Cricetulus griseus: one gene and its partners. The protein of the gene in region 1 purifies or fractionates together with the protein of each later gene. This does not show direct contact. Links are inferred from orthologs where the notes say so. Each region holds a gene or a part of one and is shown in the gene's direction. Other genes may lie near its edges. The genes, in order: Cep43, Ppp2r3c, Ppp2cb, Cep350 and Cep78.

Region 1 (3,518 bases):
TTATAAATGAGAAAGTTTCTAAGTGGGATACACACTAAAAACATTTTCATTTAGAAAGAAGGAAAGAAATAGTGTAAACATCTTCTTTAACATTTTACCATTGGAAAGCTGTCCATGTCAGGAAGCCTGGGAATGAAGTGGGAAAGCATAGGACGACACTGTAGTTCCTGCTGTTGAAAGCACAGGTGTTCACACGCGCGCACGCACGCACGCGCACACACACACGCACACACACACACACGCGCGCACACACACACACACGCACGCACACACACACACACACACACACACACGCACGCACACACACACACACACACACACACACACACACCTATGTTGACTATTGTTTAAGATATCTTAGAAGTTTTATCACCACGGAGACCTCTCCCTCCCTCCATCTTTCTTAGAAGACCAACAGCGAGAGCAGTCAGAGCGAGCCCAGTAGTATCTCCTTATCAGAGCCAAGGAGCAAGAGCAGCCTTCACTCCCTGGCCCAGGAGACACGAATCGCGTCCTTCTTGAGCAGCAGCACTTTAGATGCAAAAGACAAAGGTGTTCTTTGTGGGGAGGAAGATGATGCAGAAGGAGACTCTTTCTTTGATGATCCCATTCCTAAGCCAGAAAAAACCTATGGTTGGTGAGTAGACTTCTTTGGATCATCTGACTTATGATTTAAAAATAAAATCTAAAATGCTTTCATTTTATATTTTAAAACTAATGATTTGCTAATAACTATATAATTATTGAATCCATAAACCTAGTTTTGTGTCAGTAAAACCTAGTATGTTATAAAATAATGCCAGAATTATTGAAGGCACCAGATGAGCCATTTTCACCAGATGAGTCTGTATCAGGTACTCACTGTGTGATAGGAGCTGTATCAGAGTTTCAGTTTGTGCATGTGTGGATGCTTGCTAATATAAGGGAACACCTGGGGATTTAGAATAAGGTAACAGTATTGCTGGAGTGCTGCCCTGTGGTAGACTCCAGGGAGGAGTTGTCAATGGAATGGAGGGGGTGGCCAGGGTAGACACTGATGGCAGTGCCTGGGAAGTTAGGACGGAGCTGACTGGAATGCATGAAGTTGTGATGAAACAGCCTCTGAAGGTTAGAAGGGCTCTGCGCTTCCTGAACAGTATGCATTTGAGAGGAAATGCTTATTTGTTGATTCTTGTACTGTCTTTTGTGTTTCAAAAGATGGAGGGGGCTTCTGAAGGAGCTCCTAGATAGTTGAAGGTCCACTTGGCTGAGAGATAGTAAACAGTTGGGAATTTAGGGGAGCTGGTGCTTCACTGACAATCTTATGCATCTGTAACTGCACGTCTGCAGTCTGCATTGTCCTGTAGGTGTGCTGTATGGTTTTCAATCTGTAAAATCTTCATGTCAACCATTAGATGCATATTTAAATTGCTTTTTTATGTTTACAGAATAAAAGACTATAGTGATAAGGCCTGAAATTATCATTTAACTATTAATTGCTTCCTGTTAGGAGAAATGAACCTAGGAAGCACGTTGGAAGTCTGGCCTCACTCTCTGACATACCCCCCTTCAGGAGTGGTCTCAGCTCCCTGGCAGGAGCCCCTTCATTAACAGATACTGAGAGTAAGTACTTGAATACTCCAGGTTGTAATGATATCTTGTTTATACTCTAACAAATAAAGCTTGCCTGAAGATCAGAGGGCAGAGCTAGCCACTAGATAACCGTAGAGGTCTGGAGGTCAGTACAGATAGGCAGGAAGTGAGGAGGTGGGAGGAGACAGGAGCTCAATCTCTTTTCAGCTGGGAAGTTAGCGAGGTAAAGGTGGCTGTGACTTGCTCCTTGTCTGTCTGATCTTTCAGCATTTTCCTCTGTATCTGACTCCAGGCTTTTATTATTAAGACCTATTAGAACTCATGCTACATGTTGGCGCCCAACGTGATCTTCAGGCAAGCTTTATTTGTTAGGATATAAACAAGATATCACTCTACCAGGTTAGTTGTTGTTGTTTGTTGTTTGTTTTTTTCGGATAAGTGTGGTGTTTGTTGCTGTGATAAAATACCATGACCCAAAGTAAGTTGAGGAAGGAAGTGATTATTTGTGTCAGGTCAAAAAAAAAAAAATTAGCCAGTCATATGTAATAACAATTAATATAGATTGGGGGTTTTATTGTTGTAGTTTTGTTTGTTTGGTTTGGTTTGGGGGGGTTGTTGTTTTAGAAAAATCTCCATTTTAATGAGATGGACAATATTTTGCCACTCTTAATGTAGTCAGTATTCTCCACCATTTGTATTCTTTTTTGCTATGCTATCAACATAGTTTTCGGAAGCTGACTTTTTAAATGCTTTAGACCATCAGTAGGTATACATATACAATTTCTAAATTTTACACAGAAGTCATACATAATACTTCAAATTTAGTCTTGGTTTTCCCTGGCTGCAGTATGCACATCCCTCTGTGTTTTATCAACATGTTGATGAGCCACATGATCACTGGGGAAGGTAAATAGCCTCTACCGAGTACTGCTGGACTGGGCTGGGCTGGGCTGGTAGGTTAGGCATCTCCAGTAGAGTTTTCATAGGAGTATTGTCAACCTAAGATGAGTGTTAGGTGCTGTCCCCTTCCAAGACAGAAAACATTTGTAACTTGTAAGTCATGCCTCATAAACCCTTAAAATAACTTAAATTTTAAAAGAAGTTTTGTGATAGAGTGATCATCATAGTCATTCTGCCATCAGGGACTTGTGTCTGACATTTTTATGTGAACAGAGGAGAGGTTGCTAGCAAGGTGAAAGGATAGCCAGCTTCCTGCACTATGCCATCCCATCTCATCCCATCCTCACCCTGGGAAAGCATATGTGGATATCACCCTGTCATAGTCAGCTGGTATTTAACCTGGTGTGCAGAGCATCAGCAGGACTTCCTCAGGTAGTCCACTTGGAGTTCACAGTACTAGGTTTTGTGTGCATTTTTATTTTGGTGGTTGTGTTCTAATAAAGAATAGTATGATCTGATTTCTCTCCATAACACATGATTGTAGCCTCTACTGATAATTTTACCTCTAGGCTTTCATACTCTTAGGGTGTAAATGCTTGGTGTGGCTTAGAGAATGTTGCCCTGAATTCTTTCACACAGTGCTCTTTCCCGTCTGCAGGTAAAAGAGGAAGCACCGTCCTAAAGGATCTGAAGTTGGTCAGTGAGAAAATCGGATCACTTGGGCTAGGTAACTGTATTTCAGTTTTAGTGTGGTTGTTGAAAACCTTTTCCAGGTCTACATGGAAGAACCGTCCTGCTGTCATTCAGCAGGTGTTGGAGAGTTAGTATGCATCCAGAGTTAGCCCTGTGCCAGGGGACGGTGGCAACAAGTTGCACCATCCTTTGTCTTCATGTCCAGACTGTGGTAGGGGAAGGCCCTGGACTGGGCTTTTGAGGAAGGCCTCTGGAAGAGGCTGTGGCTGGGCCTGGTGATCCAGACAGAGCTGTATAACAAAGGTTTCAGTGAACATGGGTGAAGTGGTGACAGCAACCGAGCTGTTCTCTGG
Region 2 (3,518 bases), on another chromosome or scaffold:
ATTTTTGTACTGCTGATAGACCACTTTAATTTTCATTTCCTTTTTTAGGCAATTTTTTACTGCAAAAGTCTTTGCCAAACTCCTTCATACAGATTCATATGGGAGAATTTCCATCATGCAGTTCTTCAACTATGTCATGCGAAAAGGTGATTTGTTGTGTGTGTGAGTTTGAACTTTTGTCTGGGAATCAAGCAGGCACTGGTCTGCACTTACTTATCCTGTATGATATGCTCTTTTCCTGTGCTTTATGGTTCTGCTGTGTACTGTAAAGAGGTAGGATTATCTGTATTAAAATCAATTCATTATTGTATTTTTTTATTTTATTTTTATTTTATGTGCATTGGTGTTTTACCTGTATGTATGTCTGTGAGAGGGTGTCAGATCTTAGAGTTAGACAGTTGTTAGCTGCCATATGGGTGCTGGGAATTGAACCTGGGTCCTTTGAAAGAGCAGTCAGTGCTCTTAACCACTAAGCCATCTCTCCAGCTCCTGAATTCATCATTTTAAACAAAAGCCTTGTGTACCCTAAGGACGGTGGCAGAGTAGGGATATCAAAAGCAGTTACACTTTTTTCTTTTTTCTGGGTCACATGTACTCTCCCCAAAGGGCCTTTCTCAGTCAGCTCTGTCCTATTGCCACAGTGTCCTCACTATGATTTCACTCTTAGCAGAACAAGACTTTTAATGGGTGATTTGAAATAATTTCAATTTACTGGTAATTTTATTTCACTAATATATATGTCTGAAAGGATAGCTGCAAACTCACAGTTGTAGTCTTGGTTTCAAGAAGCCTGTATTAAAACATTTTGGAGTTGTTATGAATCTTAGTACTATATGGGCTGTGGAATCTTACTGTATACCATTGTTAATTAATAGATTTGGGCTGCAGTAATTAACCTCAGGAGGACACAAGTTTCACTGAAGACCCAATGTTGTGCTAGCTCTCCCTGTGGGGTGGAACACCAGGTTTAATAATCAGAAGACAATGTTCCCAAGGGCATCAGTTTTACTGTAGTAATCATGGCAGAATCGTTGAAATCTGCTATTTCGTGGCTTTTTTCTTTTGGTTTAAATGGCTTGGGGAGTTACTTAATGTATGTGAAAATAGCTTTATGGAGTTTCAGAATTAGCCTGCACTTCTAGTCTAGTGTCTTACTTTTTTATTATATGTTTTAAAGAACAGATCTTAGCATTTACATGTAATTTCTTGTTTATTGTCAGTTTGGCTGCATCAGACAAGAATTGGACTCAGTTTATATGATGTTGCTGGGCAAGGGTACCTTCGGGAATCAGTGAGTATTGATCTAAATTTAATAAACATTATAAACACCAAAATATTAACATTAATCATCACTAAGTTAGTTGTACTTACAGGTAAATTTTTGCGTCATAGCTTTAGTTTGCTGATTTTACCTCTGTAAACATGTTAAATTTTGTATATATTGACCACATATATTGATCTGTAGTTCTTTTTTTCTAGCCTTTTAAAAATATCTTTTGATCTTTTTGAAAGGAAAAGGAAGCTGAGCATCATAACACATACTTCTAATTCAAGCACTTTAGAGGCTGAGGCAGGAGGATTGTTGGGAGTTCAGAGGTAGCTGAAGCTCCACATATGATTGATTCCAGGCCAGCCTATGCTATATAATAGCAAAACATTGTCAATAAATAAATAGAACTTATCTAAACAGGTTTAAAAATGATTGATGAGAGTGGGGTATGGTGCCAGATACCACTAATCCTAGCTTAGGAGGCCAGGATACAAGGACCACTTGGCCAACCTGGTTAGGACTATGTAGTGAGACCTTGTCTCCGAAATCAGAAGGGGGGGAGGGGTGGGGAAGGAAGGAGAGAGAGGGGAGAGAGAGAACAATTACTGAAGAAAAAAGTTTGGAATGTTTTTGTGAATGGTGCATGTTTGGCTTGTGTGCAGGCAGACGTGGAGGCCTGAGGTTGATCAGGGATCATCTTCCACCACTCTTTCCTTCCTGTTCATTGAGCCAGACTCTGAATTAAACCAGAGCTCACCACATGACTAGTTTGTAGCTTGCTCTGGAGAATCCTGGGTCAGTCATCCAAGGCTGATGTTACAGGTGGACTACCGTGCCCACTGTCATTTACATAGGTTCTGGGATCTGAGCTCCAGTCCTCACACTTGCAAAGCAAGTGCCTAACTGCTGAGCCATCTCACTAGCCAGCCTCTCTAAGGGCTAGAGAGAGATGGGGTAGGGCTAACATGTGCCACAGAACACATGTGGAGACTGAAGGAAAACTTCATGGAGCTGGTTCTCTCTTCCCCACTTTCCATGGATTTTAGGGCTCCAACTCAGGTCTTTAGGCTTGCACAGCAAGCACTCTACCTGCAGAGCCATCTCATCTCACCAGCTTGGTTATTCTCATGTGTGCATTATTTTATTACTATGATAAAGACCAAAAAGTTTCTTTCTTATAGAATATAGGGGAAAGCTAATAGGGCTTTGCTTTTACCCATAGGTTTAGAGGGACCTGAAGAGTTACCAAGAGGGTATTTATTTCCTATAGGTATTTGTGTCATTAGGCCTGGTTATGAACAGGATTAAAACCTCATGGCTCAAATGGCTATGCTACTTAGGTAATTTTGGCAGTTATCTAAATTGTGTGGCTATATTTCTTTTGGGCTTATATTTTATTCTCCAATATGGAGTTGTCTTTTAGAACTTAAGGAAGAAGGCCTGTTGGGCATAAATATCAATAAGCTAATGAGTTACTTAAGATCATCACTTTGTCCCTCCCAGGGGCAGAGTATAGTTCTTGTCCTTTAAGGTACAGACCATCACTACTGGAAAGCACTCTTACCTCTGCCTGTCTCTGTAGGAATGGAAGCTGGTGTGTTTAGAACAAAAGCTAGAATAGCAGAAGAAGTCAGAGAAGTACATAATGACCACATTTGTGAGTCGTTTAGACTATAGTGAAGAGTTCAGGGTTTATTTTGAGAGTCAAAAGAAGCCAGGATATGTTCCAGTGAGTTGTCAGAGTGTGGTTTGGGTTTTGGTTTTGTTTTGCTTTGCTTTTTTTGTTTGTTTTGTGTGTGAGTATGTGGAGGTCAGAGAACAACTTGCAAGAGTTGTCTCTCTCTCTATCATGTGGGACCTGGGCATTGAGTCCAGGTCCTCAGGCTTGGCTGTAAGCGCCTTTACCCACTAAACCATCTTGCCTGTCCCATGGTTTCTAGTTTTAAAGGTCACTCTGGATGTATTATGGAAGATTAGAAGAGCACAGAATGGAGGTAGAGATAATGGGCAACTGTCTATTGTAGTCTTGTGAGGGAAAAGTGATAGTGGCCAAGATGAATGGTGACCATAGTAGAAGCTAGAAATGAAGCTGGGCATGATAGCTTACACTTTTTAAACTCAGGAATTAAGAGGCTGAGGCAGGAGATTACTCACAAGTTTGAGGCCAGCCTGCGATACTTAGTGAGACCTTATTTCACCACCGCCACCCTAAAAATACCCGCTGAAAGCTAAAAATAGATTAGTACAC
Region 3 (3,518 bases), on another chromosome or scaffold:
GATGGGGGTAGGGATGTGCCTCAGTAGGGAAGCACTTGTCTAGAATAGTAACCAGCGAGGAGGCGGCAGCTGGGTGTAACCAATTGGTTTAGGTCAGACTGAGGGTACAGTAACTTGGCTATTTTACAGTGTTTTGTTTTTGTTGTTGTTGTTAAATTTCCATTTATTTGTTGGAAGGTGCATGCCACAGCATTAATGTAAAGGTGTGAGGAGAGCTTTCTCCTGCTGCTTAAGTCCAGAGCATCAAGTCATCTTCAGGCTTGTGGAGGCAAGTGCTTGGACAAGCCTTACTGCAATTTTGGCTTTGAGACAGTATCCTAAGGCAGTACTCTGGATTACTACAGTAGAACATAGAGTTTCTAGAAAGCAAATGTGGAGTTAATGGTCTTTATAGAAAATTGAACCATGTAAGCCAGACAGCCCTTTAGAATTGGAGGCAGGGGACTCAGAAGGGAGTTTAAGGTGAGTTTAGTGTAGCTGGCATTGTTTTTACTCATCATTTACTAGTCCATCATTTACTAGTCTGTCTGGTTGACAGTTGTGTCCCAGGAGTGACTAAGCTCTTGAAAGGCCTCTTTCCCAGTCTTACTCAGTCTTACTGCACTGTGCTAGGCTCTCTTGCTTCCTGTGCTTAGCATCCCTGCACTAATGCTTGGGCTTGTCTCGCCTGACATAGCTTTAAGTACTTCTTTCTGTGCTGGGCAGCAGTGATTTGGTGACAGCAAGATGATTTTTCAGGCTATAGAAAGTACTATAGTTACCATCAGATCTGATGGCTTCTTGCATTGTACTCAATAACGGTTTTGCTTCATTTTGTTTTTAAGCTTTTTTTTTTTTTTTCTTTTAATTAAACAGATCCCATGGTTTTGTGACTTGACTTTTTCACTCTGGATGTAAGGATAAGTGAAGTCATAATACCACATGATCATTTGTTTCTGGCTTCTTTGACTTAAAAGCATAGTATTTTCAAAATAACAGCACATAGCAGTGCATTATTTTTCTTTTAATGGTTGGTTATCACTCTCAATCTGGTTGGGTATCCTATGCTATGTCAACTCATGACTTAGTGGGCATTACTTTGTACTTTTTTGACTACTAACGGTTGCTGCACCTCCAGAGGAACTGGGTTCATTTCCAGTGCTTGTGTCAGATGTCTCACAACCACCTGTAACTCCAGCTCCAAGGGATCTGATGCTCCCCTCTGCTTTCCAGACACAAAAAGTAAAAATACATCTTTTAAGTAAAAGAGTAATGTTGCCATGAATAATTGAATTATTATTACCTTACCTAAGGATTTCAAGTTGTCTGCATCTTTGTAGACGTGTCATTGCCAGTCTTTGCTATTATAGCCATAAGTCGGGGTGTCTCTTTGTGTGCTTTGGGGGGGGGGGTTCGTTTGGTTTTCCAAGGCAGGGTTTCTCTTTGTAACTCTGGCTGTACTGGAACTCGCTCTTGAGTTACAGAGATCTACCTGCTTCTGCGTCCTGAGTGCTGAGAGTAAAGGTGTGCACTGCCAGGTCGGGTTATTTTATTTTTACAAGGCATACTTCCAAGTGGTTTTCCCCCTGGATTTTCTTTCAGTAAGTAAGAAATGCTGTTAAATGTGTAACTGAATCTTTTTAATTGTTGATTTTCCTTTTCCAACAGGCTAAGGAAATTTTAACAAAAGAATCAAATGTACAAGAGGTTCGCTGTCCTGTTACTGTTTGTGGAGATGTGCATGGCCAATTCCATGACCTTATGGAACTCTTCAGAATTGGTGGAAAATCACCAGATACCAACTATCTATTCATGGGTGACTACGTAGACAGAGGTTATTATTCTGTGGAGACTGTGACTCTTCTTGTAGCATTAAAGGTATGATTAGTGAAAATGGGTAAGGGGTAAGCTTCACATTAGGCCAAAAGCAAGAATGGTAGTGCTGCATGTATCTCAGCTTAAATAACCATTGGCTTTACATCTTTTTTTTAAGATTTATTTATTATGTATACAGTGTTCTGCCTGCAAGCATACATGCACACCAGAAGAGGCACCAGATCTCATTAGAGATGGCTTGTGAGCCACCCTGAGGTTGCTGGGAATTGAACTCAGGACCTCTGGAAGAACAGCCAGTGCTCTTAACCTCTGAGCCATCTCTCCAGCCTGGCTTTACATCTTTTAAAGGGAGATAAAAATTAGCTGGGTGGTGGTAGTTCACACCTTTAATCCCAGCACTCGGGGGCAGAGGCAAGTAGATCTCTGTGAATTCGAGGCCAGTCTGGTCTACAGAACGAGTTCCAGGACAGCTAGGGCTGTTACACAGAGAAACCCTGTCTCAAAAAACAGAGAGAGAGAGAGAGAGAGAGAGAGAGAGAGAGAGAGAGAGAGAGAGGTTAATGCATTAAACTTGTATCTACTTCTGATAAATGTGTAACATTTGCATTGTTCATAACTGAACTCTGAATTATATTTAATTACTTACTACTCGTCATATGGAACCATTAAGCAATTCTGTAATTTATGCCATGAAAGGTCCATTGTTCTTGCCTTCCTATTTTTACTGCCCTACACTCACCACTTCACACTGCCAGATGAGAGATCTCCTCGTTTAGCTTCTGTGTGTTCTGTCTTCTTTAATTCCTTACAGTCAGTAGAGCTGAACTCTTGCTCTCCTTTTAGTCTGGTCTGAATTGACCTACTTGCAGTTCATAGCAAAAACTTCCCACCTCAAAGAATATTTTTATTCTTTGCTCTAGGCCATCTAGTTCTTTCTTGATCCAGTTTCCCCACAAGATTACTCTAGCTACTTCCTATTTGTGCCTCCTGCCCCAGCTCAACAAATGCTTGGGATTTTTGGATCTTGGGAAATTGACATAATTCATAATGAGATGAGGGGACCCATCTAAGCATAAAATCCACTTGTCTCATATATAGTTTACATACCTGTCCTTAATGCTAACAGTTAATTTACAAATGGACAAAAGAACTACTTAAAGAAATGACTTTGATGTTAAAACTAACACAATACTGGTGAGATACGATTATACCACGTTTCTTTTCCTTTTCTTTCAGGTGCGCTATCCAGAGCGTATTACAATATTGAGAGGAAATCATGAAAGCCGGCAGATCACCCAAGTCTATGGCTTTTATGATGAATGTCTACGAAAGTATGGAAATGCCAACGTATGGAAATACTTTACAGATCTCTTTGATTATCTTCCACTTACAGCTTTAGTAGATGGACAGGTGTGTAAGTGTGTGTAACTATGTCTTACAGAAGGTGGTTAAACATGGGAAAATACTTTCTATCAGGAACTCAGGATCTGTATTTACAAGATACAAGTTTCTGGCTTTGTTTAATACAATGCTGGGGATTAAACCTGGGGGCTTGGTGTCTGGTGCATGCTAGCAAGTGCCCTGCCATTGAGCCACAGACCCATGGTTTGGTTAGTCTGTTGATGTTGGTTTTTTAGGGGGGGTTGTATATGTGTGTTTTGGAGACAATCCACTAAGCTACCCAGGCTTAGACTCAGTGTACC
Region 4 (3,518 bases), on another chromosome or scaffold:
TTTTTGCTCTCAGATAGCAGGAAAAAAGGAAATTGAATGGTTACAGATATAGATGAATTTGTAGGTAGAAAGGCATGGTGGTGTGACCTGGTGCCTGGTGCCCTCTACTTTTCCATTGAGTTCATCCACAGATAATGACAAGGGACAGAAACAGGCTTGGCTTTGTAAGGTGACAACTGTTTGAGATTCCTCTTAGAGATGAGGAAAGACTTGTCTAAGAATGCCTGCTTATTGTCAGGTATTGTAGTGTCTACATTATATTCATCTTATTATTACTTTTTCCACTTTAGATCTGAAACAGCAAAAAATTGGAAATCTGTAACAGAGTCAGAGCGATCCAGAGGGTCCTTGGCATCTATTGCTGAACATATTGGTATGTGCGTGAAAGAACGAAGTTGTAAAGACATAGTCTAAGTCCCACAGAATTCTACCTCTACAAAAGTGAATTTCTGGGGCTACAGAGATTGCTCAGCAATTAAGAGCATGTGATGTCTTCCCAGAAGACCCAAGTTAGGTTCCCACCACTTATCTCAGACTGGTTTTAACTGCTACTAACTCCAGCTCCAGCAGCCCTAACTGCCTCTTCTGGACTCCACAAACACCCACACACGTGGCAGACAGACAGACAAACTTTTTAATTTAGAAAGTTCACTTTCTCAATTATCATTTGAAGTTACTTGCTCTTTTACTCATTTTACTTCTCTGATGGGGTCTGGATTGTTGCTTACTCTAATTGGAAACTCTTGGGTGCAAGTCATCCTTTTACCTTAGACTCCCAAGTGCAGAGACTATTGGGAACTTTTGTCCCAGCACTCAGTTCTTTTTAAATAAGTTTTTATTGTAAAAAGTGAGGCATGAAAATCAAATAGCTGCATACTATTAACCTCTCAAATTCTTCCCTATAGTAGGATTATACATCTATTATATGATAAATGATTGTAGTCTTATTTTTCAGTTTAACTCAAAGATAACAATTAGAAAATTGCTACTGAAAACAAAAGGACACTAAACTGAGGCAAATAAAAACTGCCATTAATGATAAAGTAGAGATTTGAATAAAAAACGTAACTCCTGATTTGTTAGTTAATTATATCATACTTTATTCTTAGTTTGCCACTTTAGCCCTTAACATCATAGATATGCAGATATATAGCCTGTTTTCCCATGGCTTGAAACTATCATGTTAAACATGTTGTCATAAACTTAGTCCCTGTTACTTTATAAATTATTCCAAACTTGAAAAATTTTAATGTTGTATTTATTTGCAATATATTTTACTTTCTTAAAAGGAAAAAAAAACCCTTTTCTTAACTGAGATTTGGCTTTTATTTAAATTTTGGGTCTCAGATTTGAAAGACTGTAATTAAATAATTTTCTGTGATTTTTTTCTTTCTTTAAGATTCATTATCATGTTCTGAGAGAGCCATATCAGAAAGGTCACTGTTTACATCTGCAAAGGGAGTAGCAGTAGAAGAACACTTGCAGGCCTCATCTCCAGTTGTGTCATCGAGAAAAACAGGGTCAGAACAAGGAGACTCTCTCGAAAGTGCACCTTCATTACCTCCTCTCATGGAATCAAGGGCACCTAGTAGGATTTATGATGTGTTCGAGGCTAAGGCCGAAGACTCTAGTCAAAAATCAGAAATACAAGAACTAGAATACACAAAACTGGAGAAGAGTGAGACTGAAGATGCCTGTTCTAAGCAGTCAGGAAGATCTGAAGTCCTGCTGAGACTAGACCTGAACTCTGAAATCCTTTCAAATAAAGAACTTCCTTCAGACTCTACAAATATTCAGAACGATTTAGGTAAATCAGCCATGGAAATTTTTCATGAAGTATTGAAAGAGAATCAGTGTGATCAAAGTACAGATCACAGCCCAGACATCCAGTCAGCAAGAGAGACCCATGAGCACAAAGGCAGAGAGAAAGGGGACACAGCCTTGTCAGAACACCTTTCTGCTCCTAAAGAATCATCTTATTCTGAAGATTTTGAAGTGTCTTCTTTCAAGAAAGGGATTTCTGCTGAAGTGTCTTCTTTCAAGAAAGGGATTTCTGCTGAAGAGATTAACAAAGATGACTCTGAGGTGTCATCATCGGCGCTGAGGAAAGACTCACAGTCTTACAGAGATAAGTCACAGCCGATGAGGAGCTCTAGAAGCAGGGCCTCTGGGTTTGGTAGCGATGATGAGATCAGTGAGTGCCTAAGTGAAAAAAGCCTTTCCATTCACAGCAGTGTCCACTCTGAAAGGCTGCTGGAACTCAAGTCCCCGACTGAGCTGATGAAAAGTAAGGAGCGCAGTGACGTGGGACACGAACAGGGTATTACTGACTCCCTTTCTCTGGCTGCAGTTTCTGCTGCAGACGAGCTACTGGACTTCCACATTGGGGATAGGGTGTTAATTGGCAATGTTCAGCCAGGCACTCTTCGATTCAAAGGTGAGACTAACTTTGCTAAAGGATTTTGGGCTGGAGTAGAACTGGATAAACCTGAAGGGAATAACAATGGAACATATGATGGCATTGAATATTTTGTGTGCAAAGACAAGCATGGTATTTTCGCTCCCCCTCAAAAAATATCTCACATCCTAGAAAACTTTAACGACTATATAGACATAAATGAAGATGAAGAATCTTATTCTGATGAACATTATCAATTCTATAATCAAGAGCAGAAAGATATAAAATGTCTAAAAGACAGAGAAGACGATATAGCTGAATATTTTTGTGAGAAATCGCTAGCTAGTATGCATAGTATAGAAGCCTCAGTGGATACAGATAGAAGCCTTAACATAGAAACCGACAATAAACTCGATAATTCTGGAGGCCTAGAAGCCCATGTTCACCAACAATCTTCAGTAGATCCCCTCATTTCTTGTAAGGAGAACAAAGCCCTTGTTTCTGACATCACAGACTATGTTCCTGATGCTGCAGGTGCTACTCCAGATGACACATCTTCTGAAGAATCAAAGCTACAGCATCTTGCAGAGAAGGAAGAGAATTCATATTCCCAAGTTTCAGAAAAGCCTTCTACCCCACTTCTGGACCTGTTAACAAAAGAAAAAAACCAATTAGAAGCTCAGCTGAAGTCATCAATAAGTGAAGAAAAAAAGTCAAATCAACAACTAGAAACAGTCAGCTTACTGACAGACAGTTTACTAAAAGATTTTGTGAAAGACACAGTTAGTCAACTACAACAAATCAAAAAGTCAAGGAATGAGAAAATCCAGCTTAGCAATCAGGAGATTCTTGACCAAAAGGAAGTACTGCTCCAAGACCCACCTCAAAACATTGAGGAACAACTACCCAGTGTTCCAAGTTGCTTTTTAAGGTCTGAATTAGAAGATGAAAAAGAAGAGCTCTCTTCTCCAGACATGTGTCCCAGACCTGTGAGTATTTCATCTAGAGGAGAGTCTGATTACCTTTTACTCAGTGACTTGAGGTGGGCATTCCCCCCAACCTGCTGCTTATTAGATACAAATTGCTATGTTGTTAAAGGACTTGTAGCTATTCTTCTGAA
Region 5 (3,518 bases), on another chromosome or scaffold:
CCGAGACTTATGATCTTCTTGTCTCAAACTCTTGAAGTAGTTGGGATTTCAGGGAAACATCACCATGCCCAGCTTAAAAAAAAAAAAAAAAAATTATCTTAGTTATGATTTTGTGTGACAAAATTCCATGACTGAAAGAAGCTTGGGAATGAAAGGGTTGTGTCAGTTTACAACATCACAGTCCGTCAGCCAGGGAAGTCAGGGCAGAAACATGGAGGGAGTAGCTGATGGCAGGGATCATGGGGGATGCTACATACTGGCTTGATCCTCATGGCTTGTTCATCCTGCCCAGGGGTGGCACAAGCCACAGTGAGGTGAGCCCCATCAGTCATTAATTAAGAAAATGACCCACAGGCCATTGTTGTGGGGCCATTTTCTCGGTTGATGTTTCTTCTTCCCAAATGACTCTGGCTTGTGTTGAGTTGACATAAAACTAGCCAGCACAATTCTCTAGTGTGTGTTACAAGTTAATCTAAAAGTCAAGCCATGTATTAGTTTTGTAATTGAGTACAAACTGAAAGGTTCTTACTATAAAGGCAGAGGCAAGCGGATCTTTATGAGTTCAAGGCTAGCCTGGACTACAAAGTGAGTTCCAGGACAGCCAGGGCTACACAGAGAAACCCTGTCTCAAAAAACTGAAGGTGGGGGGGAAGGAAAGGACAGAAATGCAATTTTTGTTTTATTAAAAGATGTTTGTGGGTTCAGTGTGACAGTGCACACCTTTAGTGTTCAGGAGGCAGAGGTAGGTGAATCTCTTGAATTTGTGGCCAGCCTGGATTACATAGTTCCAGGCCAGTCAGAGCTACATAATGAGACCCTGTCTTTAAAAAGAAGTATCTTTGAATTAGGCAATTTATTTGTAGTAAGCAGTAGTGAGTGTCCTGAACAGTAGCCAAGTGCTTGCTGTGTCAAGAGGAAGTACAGGCTGTCTGCCCACTGTGCGATCACAGCAGTGATACTTCAGCAGTCAAACTGTGTGTAAGTGGGATTTGGAGTATCATGCTATTACCTAAAGTTTATGTCATGAGTAAGTCTTCTAAAAAGTACTTCAGTTGGTGCTTTGATACACATTATAAAGTGAAGTGAAAAGGATATGCAATGCGTGCATTGCTGTGGCTTTAGGAATGGCATGTAGCCAGGCATTAGACAATTAGAAGAGCAAGAATTTGCTTGTTAGTATTGTTGGAGAGAGTGGAGCTGTGGTTGCAGTTTACAGGCCACTGAGTAAGAGGAATTTTATTTCTTGGCTTTGTTGCTGTTTGCCTCAGTTACTTGGAGACATGGAGGTCAGCTGACCAGTGTCTTGCTGTGTAGAGTTCGGTAAGGACAGAGCCTGTATGTTAATTGTGTCATAGTTATGTGGGAATATATGTTCAAGAAGTTGATAAGAACTTTTATTTTACTACTTTTTTTTTCAGCTAACAAGATACATACAAACCTTTTTAGTCTTAATTAAAAATGTTATCGTTTTTCTGAAAAATCAAAGAAATGGGGTATATATACTGCCATAGACTGGAATGCTTGTTCTGTATGAAAAAACAAACATGGAAGTACTTGTGAGGTAGTGGCAGGAGAATCAGTTCAAGGGGATTTTCAGCTACACAGCAAGTTTGAGGTTAGCCTGGACTGCGTGAGACGCTGCCTTAAAAAATAATAGTAATAAAATAAAAAATGCAATAGCACAGGACGAACTGAGTTCCTGCAATTTAATAGTTACACTGATGTATGCAGAAAATGGCACAGGACTGTGGTGATTATCAGTGAGTTAGTTACACTGTATGAAATATCCACCTTGGGCCACTGAGACAGCACAGGGGAAGGCAATTGCCAGCAAGCCTAAAGACCTGAGTTCGATTCTCAGGACCCACATGGTGGAAAGATATTACTGACTCCTGCAAGTTGTCCTCTAATTGCCCACCTGCATGCCACAGCACACATACACAAATCAGTGTGCTTTTTTTTAAAATGACTTTAAAAGAAATATATGTGCTATATAACTACATGTGCTTCATTTTAGATGGCATCCTAGTACAACAAACCAGAGGGATATACACGACCATTCTATTTTACTTTTATTACTTTTTGTTCTTTTCAAAACAGGATCTTATTATGACTGGTCTAAAACTTTTGATGTCTAGGGATAAGATTAAATACAACTGATTTAGTAAACTTTTGTTATTTGTTCTCAGTGATATTAGAGACAAAAACTTAAAATGTGAACTTTAATATATGATTTCTTCTAATAATGTGTTAATATATGGGTTTAACTGCTACAAGTATTTCATGTTTAATTCTTAGTGTTGACTTTAAGGTAAGTTCCTCATTTCATCTTTGTGTGTGTGTGTGTGTGTGTGTTCTATACTCATGTGAAGACTGAAAGTCATCAAAATGAGGATAACATCCACTCAGTAACCTTCAGCCTTTTTGGGCAGGGATTCCTGTAATCCACACACTGTTAAGTCATAGGCAGGAGGGTCGTAAGTTCAAGTGTAGCCTGAATTAGACAGAGAAACCCGTTTTCAAAAAACAAAGTTTATAAATCACTTGTACTGTAATAGCCTTGGCATCGTAGTCAGTTATTCATTTGTGTTCTGTTAGGAGTGTGTGAATGGTAATCTGTAGTCCTTTAGTACATCTTGATTTTCTTTTATGTCTTCCTTGAACATAGGGTTAGCTACAAAGAAACCTGGGAATAATGGGAGAAAACACGGGCTCAGTAAAGACTGCTATGCCCCAGATCCTCTGCCACCAGGCGCGTCAGGTTTCCTGCCCTGGCGCACTGCAGAACGTGCAAGAAGAAACAGGTAAGGTGTTCTCTGTCATGTGCCTCAGTCCTGACTGCTGTCATTTAGGAGCTTCTGTTACATAGGAGTTCTCCTGTTGATTTCTTAAGTGGAAAGGGGTGACTCACGCATAGCCTCTGCAAAGGAGTGCCCTAAGGAAAGACAAAAAAGCAGACTGTATCTACCAATCCTCGGGAACCAGCTATGTTTAAGTAACCTGTCAGAATGACATTCTGCTTGGTCTGTTCAGGTTTTTTTCATAGGTGATTTAGAGGTATTTAGTGCTGTGGTTCTATATGGATAGTGTACATAATACAAATAAGTTTAATCATGTAGTGTGTATACATTAAAATATAACTTGTTGATATCCTTTTAGGGGTTTTCCATTGTTCAAAACTCGTGATATGCCTAACCTTCTGAAGGTATGTATCTGTCATGTTTCTGACATATAAGGGATTAGAGTAGAAGTGTAGGGTCAGCTGAATAGAGAGCTCTGTAGGATGGTTTTCCCTCCCTGACATAAATGTATTTAAAGCTCTCTGGATTCCTGGCTACCATGGTACAGTTACATGTATATGACACATACTTTGGGAGGCCCTTTGTAGATACTATTTCTACAAAAAAGATGATGCTTACAATAGGTTTGACCAGGGGATGACCACTCAAAAATGTTCCAATGTTGCTTTGGAGTATTATATGTATTTTACACACACGCACGCACGCACGCACGCACGC

Evidence for each region.
Region 2: the proteins of Cep43 (region 1) and Ppp2r3c purify together in Homo sapiens (affinity purification with mass spectrometry; 3 studies listed by BioGRID and IntAct, counting the BioPlex papers as one, with this or other methods). This does not show direct contact. The link is inferred for Cricetulus griseus from reciprocal best matches to the Homo sapiens genes CEP43 and PPP2R3C.
Region 3: the proteins of Cep43 (region 1) and Ppp2cb purify together in Homo sapiens (affinity purification with mass spectrometry; 4 studies listed by BioGRID and IntAct, counting the BioPlex papers as one, with this or other methods). This does not show direct contact. The link is inferred for Cricetulus griseus from reciprocal best matches to the Homo sapiens genes CEP43 and PPP2CB.
Region 4: the proteins of Cep43 (region 1) and Cep350 purify together in Homo sapiens (affinity purification with mass spectrometry; 6 studies listed by BioGRID and IntAct, counting the BioPlex papers as one, with this or other methods). This does not show direct contact. The link is inferred for Cricetulus griseus from reciprocal best matches to the Homo sapiens genes CEP43 and CEP350.
Region 5: the proteins of Cep43 (region 1) and Cep78 purify together in Homo sapiens (affinity purification with mass spectrometry; 3 studies listed by BioGRID and IntAct, with this or other methods). This does not show direct contact. The link is inferred for Cricetulus griseus from reciprocal best matches to the Homo sapiens genes CEP43 and CEP78.

The regions. Positions count from the first base shown.
Region 1 is NC_048595.1:292,382,371-292,385,888, reverse strand, and holds part of Cep43 (centrosomal protein 43), read left to right. Parts: intron 1-407; coding exon 408-637; intron 638-1,489; coding exon 1,490-1,602; intron 1,603-3,130; coding exon 3,131-3,199; intron 3,200-3,518. UniProt on the Homo sapiens protein: Required for anchoring microtubules to the centrosomes. Required for ciliation.
Region 2 is NC_048598.1:147,145,979-147,149,496, forward strand, and holds part of Ppp2r3c (serine/threonine-protein phosphatase 2A regulatory subunit B'' subunit gamma), read left to right. Parts: intron 1-48; coding exon 49-146; intron 147-1,220; coding exon 1,221-1,291; intron 1,292-3,518. UniProt on the Homo sapiens protein: May regulate MCM3AP phosphorylation through phosphatase recruitment. May act as a negative regulator of ABCB1 expression and function through the dephosphorylation of ABCB1 by TFPI2/PPP2R3C complex.
Region 3 is NW_023276807.1:51,178,247-51,181,764, reverse strand, and holds part of Ppp2cb (serine/threonine-protein phosphatase 2A catalytic subunit beta isoform), read left to right. Parts: intron 1-1,647; coding exon 1,648-1,857; intron 1,858-3,051; coding exon 3,052-3,225; intron 3,226-3,518.
Region 4 is NC_048598.1:35,890,364-35,893,881, forward strand, and holds part of Cep350 (centrosome-associated protein 350), read left to right. Parts: intron 1-290; coding exon 291-373; intron 374-1,399; coding exon 1,400-3,387; intron 3,388-3,518. UniProt on the Homo sapiens protein: Plays an essential role in centriole growth by stabilizing a procentriolar seed composed of at least, SASS6 and CPAP. Required for anchoring microtubules to the centrosomes and for the integrity of the microtubule network.
Region 5 is NC_048596.1:45,104,712-45,108,229, forward strand, and holds part of Cep78 (centrosomal protein of 78 kDa), read left to right. Parts: intron 1-2,668; coding exon 2,669-2,804; intron 2,805-3,159; coding exon 3,160-3,205; intron 3,206-3,518. UniProt on the Homo sapiens protein: Centriole wall protein that localizes to mature centrioles and regulates centriole and cilia biogenesis. Involved in centrosome duplication: required for efficient PLK4 centrosomal localization and PLK4-induced overduplication of centrioles.